Linked DNA regions of Solanum lycopersicum. Each later gene encodes a partner of the first gene's protein in a complex. Links are inferred from orthologs where the notes say so. Each region holds a gene or a part of one and is shown in the gene's direction. Other genes may lie near its edges.

What was found.
Region 2: the proteins of CITRX (region 1) and fructokinase-like 1, chloroplastic are in contact, whole or in part, in a cryo-EM structure (PDB 8XZV), measured with the Spinacia oleracea proteins. The link is inferred for Solanum lycopersicum from reciprocal best matches to the Arabidopsis thaliana genes TRX z and FLN1. Residues at the interface, in XP_021862427.2 of Spinacia oleracea: Tyr73, Val75, Lys77, Ile83, Thr84, Val87, Arg88, Tyr100, Ala101, Thr102, Trp103, Cys104, Gly105, Pro106, Cys107, Ile108, Ala111, Gln112, Lys129, Asp131, Thr132, Asp133, Asp134, Tyr136, Phe138, Arg140, Asp141, Met142, Gln143, Val144; in XP_021865197.1 of Spinacia oleracea: Gln111, Lys112, Glu113, Phe114, Val115, Pro116, Ser117, Val118, Arg119, Val120, Ser121, His123, Gln124, Met125, Asp126, Pro127, Asp128, Ile129, Tyr130, Trp133, Met136, Gln137, Pro141, Phe143, Asp175, Phe176, Lys201, Ala203, Cys204, Ser205.
Region 3: the proteins of CITRX (region 1) and fructokinase-like 2, chloroplastic are in contact, whole or in part, in a cryo-EM structure (PDB 8XZV), measured with the Spinacia oleracea proteins. The link is inferred for Solanum lycopersicum from reciprocal best matches to the Arabidopsis thaliana genes TRX z and FLN2. Residues at the interface, in XP_021862427.2 of Spinacia oleracea: Tyr73, Lys77, Ile83, Thr84, Val87, Arg88, Phe99, Tyr100, Thr102, Trp103, Gly105, Pro106, Ile108, Leu109, Gln112, Asp131, Asp133, Tyr136, Phe138, Ala139, Arg140, Asp141, Met142, Gln143, Val144, Arg145, Gly146, Leu147, Pro148, Tyr151; in XP_021858068.1 of Spinacia oleracea: Gln218, His219, Ala220, Phe221, Val222, Pro223, Ser224, Gly225, Arg226, Pro227, Ala228, Arg230, Leu231, Ile232, His234, Gln235, Ile236, His237, Leu240, Lys241, Ala243, Phe250, Ile251, Asp282, Tyr283, Thr286, Trp308, Ala310, Met311, Ser312.

What each region holds. Positions count from the first base shown.
Region 1 is NC_090800.1:83,416,845-83,421,045, forward strand, and holds the start of CITRX (thioredoxin-like protein CITRX, chloroplastic), read left to right. Parts: upstream 1-1,322; 5' UTR 1,323-1,421; coding exon 1,422-1,628; intron 1,629-2,136; coding exon 2,137-2,259; intron 2,260-4,036; coding exon 4,037-4,117; intron 4,118-4,201. Other genes in the region: trihelix transcription factor ASIL2, read left to right, coding at 426-830. UniProt on the Arabidopsis thaliana protein: Thiol-disulfide oxidoreductase that plays a role in proper chloroplast development, most likely through regulating plastid-encoded polymerase (PEP) dependent chloroplast transcription.
Region 2 is NC_090808.1:5,635,651-5,640,006, forward strand, and holds fructokinase-like 1, chloroplastic, read left to right. Parts: upstream 1-1,451; 5' UTR 1,452-1,509; coding exon 1,510-2,253; intron 2,254-3,356; coding exon 3,357-4,049; 3' UTR 4,050-4,308; downstream 4,309-4,356. UniProt on the Arabidopsis thaliana protein: Required for proper chloroplast development, most likely through regulating plastid-encoded polymerase (PEP) dependent chloroplast transcription.
Region 3 is NC_090804.1:5,637,359-5,641,645, forward strand, and holds the start of fructokinase-like 2, chloroplastic, read left to right. Parts: upstream 1-1,423; 5' UTR 1,424-1,640; coding exon 1,641-1,681; intron 1,682-2,619; coding exon 2,620-3,182; intron 3,183-3,289; coding exon 3,290-3,924; intron 3,925-4,190; coding exon 4,191-4,287. UniProt on the Arabidopsis thaliana protein: Required for proper chloroplast development, most likely through regulating plastid-encoded polymerase (PEP) dependent chloroplast transcription.

The sequences.
Region 1 (4,201 bases):
ACGTTAATAGTGAAAAAAAAACACTCTACATAATAATAATAATATGTTAAGTTTCTAATTAGAACTCTCATATTGGAGTCATGGTCATTAAGTTAACTTTTATAGTGGGTGTTAAAACTTACCTGATATAACCTGAAATAGTATGAACCCTCAAAGGTTTTACTGAATTAGCAAGTGAAAAAACAAAATATAACGAAACTAACAAAACACATAGGTCGTGGTGTAGTGATGAAACTGTTTTACTCATAATCAAAGATTTCATCTTCCTGTTGGAAAATTCTGTTTAAAGCGGTAATCCCTGAATTGTGCTACAATGCGAGCTTCGGATGAAAAAAAAAAAACAAAACTTGCAGCATTGTAGACTGTACACTATCTTCTACTATAATAATGAGCATGAAAGTGAAGTTGCCGACTTGTGTGACCAGGAAGACATATTAATGGACGCCAAATTATCGGACAACGCAGCAGCACCAGATCAGAAAAACGCAACAGCTACAAATAGCAGCAGCACGCCAGCACTGTACAGCGACAACAAGAGCAAGTCGAAATTGAGATCAAAGAATAAGCGAAAGAGGGCCGTGGAAGGGTGGGAGATCGGAGAGAGCATACGTTTGCTAGCTGAAGTAGTGGTAAGGTCAGAGCAAGCACGAATGGAGACGATGAGAGACATCGAGAGAATGAGAGCAGAAGCTGAGGCCAAAAGAGGAGAAATGGATCTCAAGAGAACGGAGATCATTGCCAACACTCAGCTTGAGATTGCTAAGCTCTTTGCTAGTATTACCAAAGGATCAGTTGACTCTTCATTGAGAATTGGAAGAAGTTCATCATGAGCTAGAAAATAATAATAATACTCTAGCTAGCTGTGGAAATAGAAATTACCTTGTTATCATCTTTTAATTTGATGATGATATCCTTCTTGACCCAGCCACTACCTAATTATGGAGAACATTTTATTTAGATTACTAATAATTAACTTCTATTTCCATTTTCTTGCTGATTGTATGTTCAAGGACTTTACTGTATCACTTCTCCCTTTATCAATCATATATGAAAAAAAAAAAAAAAGAGGAGTAAATTAATCCACCGTATTTTGTCTCATAATTTGATATATCTGAATTATCGAACCGAAATAGTATATTATTTAGATGCTTCCAATGCATCACAATCCAGTTAAATCTCAATCATTTGAAAATGTTTAATAAAATAAATAAGACTTTTAAATGGTATATAAAATAGACGCAAAAATTTGAAATTTAAAATACCCAAAATGCCCTTCATGTTGTATTTCCATTTAGTAATAAACCTTATCTTTTTGTCTCGTTGGGAATTTTGGCTCTCTCTTTCTTTGCTCCTTAAACCCCAAACAGAGTCTCTCTCCCTGTGCTGTGTGTCACTCCGGCAGAGCAGATAAAGCTATAAGAATGCAAGCTGCCAGTCTCGCCTTTCACCCTCCGGCACTCCGTACTTCACCTTCTTACCTCTCCTCCAAACTTCCCCACCACCTCAATTATTCACTCTTCAAACACGCTCCTTCAACTTCCACACTATCTTTAACCCAAGTACTCTCCAGAAATACCATTTGCAAACCCCCAGCTGTTGGAAAATATGTCAGGGAGGATTATCTTGTGGTATGTTACGATTCTTTGTTGTTGGTTGTTCAGTTTCAGTTAGTTTCTCAATGTTAGTTCAATTTTTCTGAATCTCGGCTATTGGGTTTTGTTTAAAAAGTTCAAATCAATTTGTTAAGTTGGAAATATGTGTTGGTGAAATTACAATTACAATTGAAAAACAAAATGAGGTACCAATATCTTGCTCGCTCTGTTTAAGGAGACAACAAAACTTTTCACCGGTGTAGTAGTAATCTTCTTGACGAATTTGGCTGTTGGGTTTGTTTATCTGCTGGAACCTTCAGTAAAATTTATATCAATTTGGAAATTTATGTTGTGGATAAGCTTTGTTTGTTGCTGAAACTGGAACACTGGTTAAACAAGAGCGAAAAGGAACCAGACTTAGGCGACTGTTTTAGAGGAATTCATCTGTTATTTGTTTTTGCAAGTGTGGTTTTGTTTCTAATGAGCGCGCTACGCAAGGTTTTGCTAATTCCAATTCATTTTCCCTAATTATATGTGATTGCAGAAGAAATTATCTGCCAAGGAGATTCAAGAACTGATAAAGGGAGAAAGGAATGTGCCACTGATTATTGATTTCTATGCCACATGGTGTGGTCCTTGTATTTTGATGGCGCAAGAACTTGAAATGGTAAGTTTGGATTTTACACAAAAATGTCTTAAACACTTCTTTGATCTGCTATTGATGGTTTAATGTAGAGTTGGGATTGATGGATAAATGCTCTAGACGATTCGTTACTGTGGTTCAAATCAAGTGGCTATTTGAATTGGTCAATTTTCCAGTTTGCAGAACCATTTGGTTTTGTAATGACTCCATTTTCTAGCTCCAATTCTTTTCTTAATTAGTTGGGGTTAGCTATAAATTAGAGTATCCTATCATAGTTTGATTATTTTTTAGCAGTCCGCCAACAGCCAACCTATGCAACTTCTTGTCGATTTGGCTTTAGGACATGCTATGTTTGTGAATCTTACATATTGGGGGTGAGGGTATCATTTTGCTCCAGCAATGATCAGGAATTGTTTTAAATGCTTAAAATCACTATTGCTACATATGAGGAGAAAACCTAGAGAAGGGTAGAGGGATGGGACAATTATCCCTGAATTTCTAATGTTGCGGAAAAATATTGTAGTTAGGAGTCGAAATTTTCTATCAACGTGAATGATATAATGTGTTAGACCTGATATTTATATAAATAAAGCACGATTCGTCAATCATTGGTGGGATAATCCTTTTAAACTCTAGGGAAACCTTATGCTCATTGATATGGTGTATTTGAAGATATAGCAACTCTGAGGGCCTACATTCAATTGTTGAAAAGATAGGGATAAATCTCAGGTGATCATGATACTCACATGGCTATTTTATCCTCAATTTTCTGTATCTCACTTCCTTGGAGAAAAACCTTGTGTTGACCTTTTTTTCCCCGTGTTTATTGTTCCTGTGAGAAATAAATATACGTAGACAGAGTGGATATGGAGAGTTTCGTGATTTTCAATTTTCCTAGTTGCTTATTCAACAATGTCACATTAATGGTGGCACAGATCGTCCATTATTCAGTGTCAGTATTGGAGTGGTTAATATGCTGAGAGTTTGTCTTAAATGGATGAGGTGCTGCTATGTGGTGAAGGAATACTATTAGCTGAGGAGCATCTATTTTTTCGCAAAAACTTTAGTAAAAGTTTGTAACTGATAAGTTTTAATGAGAAGCTATGAATAATGAAGTTAAAGTCTGCTGTCTAGTAACTTTTACCTATTATTTTATTTGGAGGAAAGATTGACATTGATCTTTCTATAGTTTAAATGCGTAATGTCCTAGTGGAATTTGTCTATCATAAACTGCATGTCACGAATCGACAATCGAAATCAAAGAATTGTATTACTTCTAGGCCTTCATAAGTTTATATTTTTTGGATAGGCATAAGGAGTAAGTTCCCCTCTCTTAGTGTGATTGCAAGATTGGAGATCCTACCGTCTAATTCAAGTATAGCTGACATTGATGATAAGAAAAGGAGATTGTTTTGTAATATTAAAATGATGCAAAAAGTATCAAAATATCTTTTTCGTTTCAAGTATACTTTTGTCTTTTGGTGTAAACAGAGTCTCACCTTATGCATGTATATTTGGGCTCGTAAGTTAGATGATTGTAAAAAAGAGACACAACCAACTATAAATAAGTTGGATGATTGTAAAAACGAGACACAACCAACTATATATACTTTTTAGCACAACCTTGGTGTATTGATTATGAAATATATTCCGCTTACCCCTGTCCACACGTAAAAATCCTCCTCAAAATCAGTAAGTATAAGTTTCGTTTGAAATAGTTTGCTTGGAGTTTAGTTATGTCTTGCTATGCACACTAGGTTATCTTTGCTAATGTCAAAATTGTTCCAATTTCATCTGACAGCTTGCTGTGGAGTATGAAAACAATGCACTTATTGTGAAAGTGGACACAGATGATGAATACGAATTTGCACGAGATATGCAGGTACAACCTCTTACACCATCATTCTGCCTTGAATTAAAATTTGTTTCTCTTTCAATACTATCAATGTTTTTGAAGAGAGTTCTG
Region 2 (4,356 bases), on another chromosome or scaffold:
GTAAAGTGATATATCTGATCGATATATCACGTAAAGTAATGTATCCGCAAATTGCACAAAGTAGGAGTTTCTGTAGTTTTTTCAAATGGTTGGAAATTTTAGAGGATACGATAAAATATACTGTGTATTTAGGTGATTTCTTAAAATACATTGAGAAAATTATATATAATAGCAATCTATTAATTCAAATTAAATGTCATAACCATAGCTTGATTTAATTATAACCCATAGCAAACTGTTATCATTCGCCTCTCACCCTAAATTCTCGCTCGCCACTCTCCCTCTCGCTCGCTAATCTCTCCGTCGCCTCTCTCAATATATACAAACACAAATGTATAAATTGGTTTGTATAAAGCGAGAGAAAATTGTATATACACATGTAAATATGTATATCTTTGTCCTATACACTTATAATTATATGATACAAATCTCCCCCCTGCTCGGTCCTCTTTGCCTTTCTCTCTTTCTCTCTTTATGCAAAACACAAATATACATAATACAATGTATAATTTGTGTTTGCATAAAGTGAGAGAGAGAGAGAGAGAGAGAGAGAGAGAGAGAGAGAGAGATTTGATATACAAATGTTTTATTTCGATTCATTTGTATACAAATACAAATTTTATGTAGATATACGAACACATAAAATTGAATGGAAAGGTTGTCATCGATTTATACAAATGAGAGGCTGCCAACGATGTATACAAATGAGAAGTTGCTAACAATTTTATACAAATCTGATTTTTACACAAATATGATTGACAAAGTGGATACGCCTTGATTTCCTCCAACTGCTTACTTAATTTATATTGGCAAATTATAGAAATCACATACTTTTAAGGTAAAATTACAATCAATATGTCCCTTAAAATTTTATAATTATAAAAATTCCTCCGAACGGATAAAATAATATAAGTGTTGATACATTAATCTAATGCTTGAGATATATTAATCGTTAAGTAAGATACATTATATTTTATACATGATACACTAATCTGATGTACATTTTATATATGATACACTACTTTGATGCGTGAGATTCACTAATTTAATGCATGAGGTACATTTTATACATGATACACTACTTTGATGCATGAAATACACTAATCTGATTCACGAGGTACATTTTATACATGATACACTAATGTCATGCGCGAGATACACTAATGTGATGCACGAGATACATTAATTTGATGCCCGAGATATATTAAGGTGATGCGCAAATATAAAAGATTTTGGAAATTTGTAAAACTTATAGGGGATAATGATAATAAGTAAATTAAAAGGTGAAATTTCCGTGATTAATCTTTTTAATATTTGCTAAACATGAAAGTTGTTCTAATACTTCAAGTAGGCCCAAAATAAAATGTAAGAACCCCGACCCGACTGTCACTACCAGTCAAAACAACCGGGTCAAGTTATCCAAACCCGAATGGAAGTCAAAACCTCAAATTCTCTTCAACAATGGCATGAAAAAGATATGGATAAACCCTAGCACATAGCAAAAACACCATGGCAACAATACATTTTCTTCCTCAATCTCTTCCTCATCATCATTCTCACAATTCACTAAACCCCACCATTTTCTTCTCCTCCTCCAAATTTCCTTACAGAACAAATCCACCCAAGTCCACCACCAATGACCACCCCACCACTACCCAAGAACCCCCTACCCCCTCTCGCCGTGGCCGTAAAAAATCATCCACCCCCACAACTTCAAAAAAATCAAGAACCCCAAAAGATTCAAACTTTGATATCAACATTGCAGAATCCAACACCCAAATGGAAGAAATTGATGATTATGATGATGGGGTTGATTTTCCATACCCAAACCCACCTTTGGTCTGTTGTTTTGGTGCAGCGCAGAAGGAGTTTGTGCCAACAGTGAGAGTATCACCCGAGCAAATGGATAAAGATAAGTATTCAGAGTGGAAAATGTTGCAGTGGAATCCACCTGAGTTTGTTAGAGCTCCTGGTGGACCTCCATCTAATGTTGCTATATCTCATGTTAGGCTTGGTGGTAGAGCTGCATTTATGGGGAAAGTTGGGAGTGATGAGTTAGGACAAGAAATGGTTTTGTTAATGAATAAAGAGAAAGTGCAAACAAGGGCTGTCAAATTTAGTGATAGTATGAGGACTGGATGTAGTTATATGGAAATTAAGTTTAAAGATGGGAAAATGAGGGTGGAGAAAGTTCAAGACTCTGCTGAGGATTCACTGCTTAGCTCCGAATTGAATCTTGATGTTCTGAAAGAGGTATGTGGAAGTGTTGTTATTAAAAGTAAAGATATATTTTTATTTATGGATAGATTAAGCATGTTGTTGTTTCTATTTGTGTAGTGATGTTTGGCTTTAAATGTTAATAGAGGATGCATGAATCTAATTTGCTATGTGATTGGTATTAAACTATGTTGCGCAAAATGGCTTATGAAAGAACCCCATGGCTGCTTTTCTTAAGATATCGTCTGACCCGCTGGGGTCGTTGCTCTTATCTTGTTCTCCCGTTGTGAAACCAGTTCATTTCGTAGTTGTTAGTTTTGGAATTCCGCTGATTCCAAGTACTCTACTTTATACCTACTATTTCGTCTTGTTTTTGGTTTCTAGTCTTATTTTACCATCTCCATCATCGCACATAGGAATGTAGAGAGTAACACTAATATTCCCCATAAATGCTTATTAGTAGGTATATTGAAGTCAGACTGCTGGAGAAGCTCACTATTTATCAGTAGACACTATTGTGCTGTCGTTAACAGTTTTATTGCTCTCTCCAGCTCTGAAGTTTGCTTGATCTCTTCACTCTGATGACATTTCTTTGCAATGACACATTTGTTTCGTAAAACCAATTGACGAAAGATGCATAGTTCTCGTCAATTTATTTATTTGAGTTTGACTTGTGCTAATCGTATATACTCCTTTTAGTTGCGAGGTAGTGGAAGTGTAGTTACCTATCATTAAAAAAATCTAGTGTCCTGACAACTAGTTATCATTTGGAGCAGCAAATTGCTTTGTCGTTTCATGCTTGACTAGTTACTCATCTTCCTGAAACTGTCGGTCTTTTAGCTTGAGACTGGTTGATCCTTAAACCGTGAAAGCTGAAAAATGATTCAATATATCATCAGTTCTCATTCTCTTGTTTGGTAGGGAAATTGTTTTTTTCGATTGGTATGAACCAGAAGTAAGATGTTAAATTCATGATGGATATTTTTCATACAGTGCTTGAACCTCCACTATGGAGAAGAATATATCTTCTATCAGTTTTATCCTTTCCGGAATTTACTTGCTTCAATAATTGTGTCAGGGTGATGATGGGAAACTATTATTAACAAATTTCGTGGATGCTTTTGCTTTCTGTTTTGCAGGCTAGGATGTTCCACTTTAATTCTGAAGTCTTGACATCTTCATCTATGCGTTCAACTCTTTTTAAAGCAATTACATTGTCAAAGAAGTTTGGTGGTCTTGTATTTTTTGACTTAAATCTGCCATTGCCTCTGTGGAGATCACGTGACGAAACAAGGGATTTGATCAAGGAAGCCTGGCAGCAAGCTAACATCATTGAGGTTTCGAGGCAAGAGCTTGAATTTCTTCTTGACGAAGAGCATTACGAGAGGAAAAGGAATTATAGACCTCAATACTTTGCGGAGAATTACGAACAAACCAAACAAAGAAGAAATTATTATCACTATACTCCTGAGGAAATTGCTCCCTTGTGGCACGACGGACTGAAACTTCTGTTTGTTACAGATGGGACACTTAGGATTCATTACTATTCCCCTTCTTTTGATGGGGTGGTTGTTGGTACAGAAGATGTGCTCATAACACCGTTTACTTGTGATAGAACTGGTTCTGGTGATGCTGTTGTCGCTGGAATAATGAGAAAGTTGACAACACAACCAGAGATGTACCACGATCAAGATGTTCTAGAGAGACAGCTTCGCTTTGCTATTGCAGCAGGCATAATATCCCAGTGGACAATAGGTGCTGTTAGAGGTTTTCCTACTGAAAGCGCCACACAGAATCTCAAAGAGCAGGTTTATGTACCATCGATGTGGTAGTAGTGCCATAATGCCAATTCTCAGGACCTTGTTTTCTGCAGAAGTTACTACTTAAACGTAGATTTCGTTGTAATTAATCCGACAAATTATAGGTTCTTGAGGAAAGATCCATAGTGTTTTTGTAAGTGCATGATCTTTGTAAACCAGTCCCATTTGTAACTCAAAATCAGTTAATTTGATTGTGCATCTCATGGTTAAAGGATGTTATATAGATTCTTCACTGTTGTAATGAGTAGGCAGTTTTCACTTTTCACTATTATATCATTTTGTGGCTCCTCAGCTCATATTATCATTTTTTGCTGTCAAA
Region 3 (4,287 bases), on another chromosome or scaffold:
AGTTGTACGACCCATGTCCTTCTCAATCTTCTTGAGTGCTCTCAACAACTCGTGAGGCCCTAGTATTGTGACACCTCTAACAGCAGAATTCAAAAACTGAGGCTGATCAGTTACATAAGCAGGTGCTGTCTCATATAAGCAAGCATGCCTGGTAATCTTTATACCTGATTGCTTCATTAGGTGCAATGCTTCATCAAAATTATTAAGTCTGTTTCCGACATTACTTCCCAAAGCAATTATTACTTCCTGCTCCGGGGAATGAACTTCCACTACACAATCTGGGGACGAATGGATAGAGTAAACGCCTGGTGCTACAAAGCAAGATCGGAAAAAGAATATCAATCAATCAATCAATAACTACGTCTTTATGCCTTAATCCTAAAACTAGTTGAGTCTCAGCTCTATGAATCCTCTATGTCCATTATGTGCTACAAACAAACTTCTCTATAACGGTATCATTTTCTAAATATTTTTTTGGCTGCTATAGTACAATGCTACATAACATGAAAAATCGGTTTCATAAAGAGCTTGGCCGTTCTAGAGAAATGTTATTACAGAGGATGAATGACTGTATTAAGGTCCATTTTATCTCAATTTCTAAGGTTCAAAATAAATATTTTAGAAAAACGGCTTATACATCCATCAAGATTCAACATAACCCCTCAATCAAATGTTGTAATGAGAAGCTTAAACCCATCAAAACATCTCAAAGATCAACTTCTGACAAAATCAGAAACATGACATCATAATTTCTTTAGAAAAAGCTATAATTTTGTATAAAATAGTATTCACCTTACCCCTCTCGTAGAGGTAGAAAGACTATTTCCGAAGACCTTCAACTCAACTCAAGTAACACAATAAACAAAGCAACTTTCAAAAATTAACATAGATACACAAGGCAGACATAGTAACTAATAACAATATCATTACATAGCATTCAGAAAAAAGAACAGTAACAACAACAAAATATTCCATTAATACCACTTATTGCAAATACCAATTACATCAGAACCTAATAAAGATTGAAACTTTATCACTGATAGAGCACAAAAAGATTGGGAAAACAAAAAAAAGAGGACAAAAAGGGGCTTGAAGTTACCATAACACGATTTCTTGGATGTTTTGAACCCAATTTTTTTGGGCAGAAAACGCCTGAAGACATTCATTTCAACAATGATACAAAAACTCAATGAAGATAATAATGTTAATGGCTCTGTAGCATTCCAAGATTCACAAAAATGGAAGAAATCTTCAAAATTATCATATTATAAACATCAAAAAATACAGTAAAATGGGATCTTGGAAACAGATTAGATACCCTCTTTGTTGAGCAGATTATATTTTACTAATAGAAAAGCAAAGCCTAAAACATACCTAGTGGCAGTTTGTTAAATTATAATACACACTAGGGACATTCTAGTCATAAAAAATATCTTTAGGTATATTAAAAATAGTTATTTAGAAATAATGAAATTAAATTAAAAAAAGAAAAAAAAATACTCAAAAACCCAAATTCCAAAACCCCTCTCCTCATCCAATTTCTCTTTACTACTTCACAGTGACCTTGAAGGTGTAAAACCCCAGTACCCATTATTGGGTCTTCAGGGTTGTAAAGATTGAATCTTTAAGTTCTTTTTACTATGGCTGCTTTGTCTTTCAGCTTTTTTTCTACACTCTCCAGGTTCTTTTTACTCAATTCTTTTAAGTTTTTTTTTTGTCTTTCTCATATGCTTCTTTCATTTATTGTTTAGTGCATTTGGTTACATGTAAAAAAAATGATACAAGAAACAGAGAATTAGTACAGAACTTCTAAAGGTGTCACCTTTGCAACTATCTTGTGTGTGGATAATATTCTTTTGTGGTAAAATTTGGAAGTGAAGTTGAATTTCTGTGTCCATGTTTTCATATACTAATCCATTAGTTTGAGGGCAAGTCGAATTTCTTCCATTTTTTATAAAGCATAGCCGGATGCACTAAGCTTCCACTATGCGCGGTTTGGGAAGGGCATGACTATTATTTATGTTTGCATAATTTTGGTTTGAGGTGATTTAAATGGAGTAACATGGTTATTCATGTACCGACTTCAACTTGTTTGGAATTGAGTAGTAGTAGTAGTTGTTTTTGTTCTATATGCTTTTGATTAGTGCACAGAGGGAAGTGTTGGCTTCACTGCTAGAGTTGCTCTTTTGGCAACTTTAAGGAACTAGCCGAGTGCGCGGGGTAGCCCTTTTTATTAGTGCATTGTTAGAGTTCATCCATTTTGTTATTAATAGACTAGGAAGGAGGAAAAGAATAACTGAAAGAAAGGCAATCAATTAGTTTTTCGTCAAAGTTTCATTTATTGTGGAGAACAACCATTAACGTATGGAATACCGAACAAAATCAGTGGCTTTCGAGTAATTTTTAATTTTATAATCAGTCAGTATGCAGAGAGGGTGTTTGTCTTGATTGTAATATGAACGTCAAACGGAGATTCAATGTCTCTGCTCTTCTTTATGCATCTTAGATTTTCTGACCTCAAACATGGAGTAAATTTGAAGGATAACTACTGCTGAAACTAAAATATGCTTCAAACAGGAAGAGGATAATACTAAGATTCCATCTTTCTCTGATATGCAGGCAGCATCTGCATTGGAACTTTTACCCAAATTTGAAAGTAATGCAACTTCAAGATCTTAAACTTAAAAATAAATGGGTTCTAATGGCAGTTTCAAAAGGAGGAACTACAGAGGGTATACCTGAGGAATTATCGGAGACAGAGGTGGTTGGTGCTGGGAAAAAGACCGGCAGGACATCAAAACAAGCTCCAGTTTTGTCTAGGCGAAAGAAAGTAGTTGAGTCTTCAAATGATGAGGAAGCGGAAAATACTTCAGGGTCAATTGAAGAACCCAAAAAAACCCAGAGACGAACCCGAAAGAAAAAAGACACAGTGGAGAGTTCGATTGGTGATTCCATATCCGATGTGGAGGGTAATGTCACTGATGAAGACGCTGTAACAGAGCCAGAATCAAGTGGGAAGCCCAAGAAAACCCGAAGAACCCGGAAGAAAAAAGAGATAAAGGAGAGCTCATTTGAGGATTCCATGTTAGGTGTGGAGGGCAATGTGACAGATGAGGAAGGCTCACCAACTTCAAGGTCAAGTGAAGAGCCTGTAGAAAAAAGAAAACGAACTGCAAAGAAAGGTACAACCAATTTATAAATTTATCTTCCTCATCATGGAGCACTTGTGCTCTCTTTTATATTTGGTAAGTTTAAGAAGTTTGAATCGCAAATCTGCATAATTTTGCAGCTGCTTCTAGCTCTAGTAGCTTGGAGAAAGAACCAACGCAAAAGGCCACAAGGGGGAGGAGGAAGAAGGTTAGAAATTTAGAGGATGAAGGTAGCCAGTCAGAACTTAGTGATATTGAAGAAGAGCTACATGTTGCAAATGTTGATGCCGATAATGAGGAAGAACTGGACTTCGATATAGATGTTGGAGAGGATATTAGCTTCACGTATGGATGGCCACCCCTTGTATGTTGCTTTGGTGCAGCACAGCATGCATTCGTTCCTTCAGGGAGGCCATCCAATAGACTTGTAGACCATGAATGGCATGAAAGAATGAAGGATGTAATGTGGGATCCTGAAAAGTTTATCAGGGCTCCAGGGGGATGTTCAAGTAATGTTGCTGTGGCTCTTGCGAGTTTGGGAGGTAAAGTTGCCTTCATGGGGAAACTTGGTGATGACGATTTTGGTCAGTCCTTGGTATATTTTATGAACATCAACAAAGTTCAAACACGATCAGTTCGCCTTGACAGTAAAAGAGCAACTGCCATTACACATATGAAGATAGGTAAGAGAGGGGGCTTGAGGATGACTACCACCAAAGCATGTGCTGAGGATTCTTTATTGAAGTCTGAGATCAATATAGATGTACTTAAGGAGGTGAGAATTTGAAAAAACCTAGTTTTATTTGGAAATGTGAGAAGATTAATATTCTAGTTTTCCTTTTGGGTGTGAAAGTTTTCCGATAGGCTTCTTTGTTGGAATTTACAAGCATGGAAGTCATTCTTGACATAATTCTTAATATTGCATAATCTTAATGGGATCATAAAATAAGTTACATGTTACTTTTTCTTTTTGTTTTTGAATTCATTTTGTATGTTCTGTTAGTACTAAGTTGTTTCCTTTTGTTCTAATATGTCACACAGGCAAAAATGTTTTACTTCAATACATTTTCGTTGCTTGACCCAAATATGAGATTAACCACATTACGGGCAACAAAGATTTCGAAGAAGCTCGGAGGAG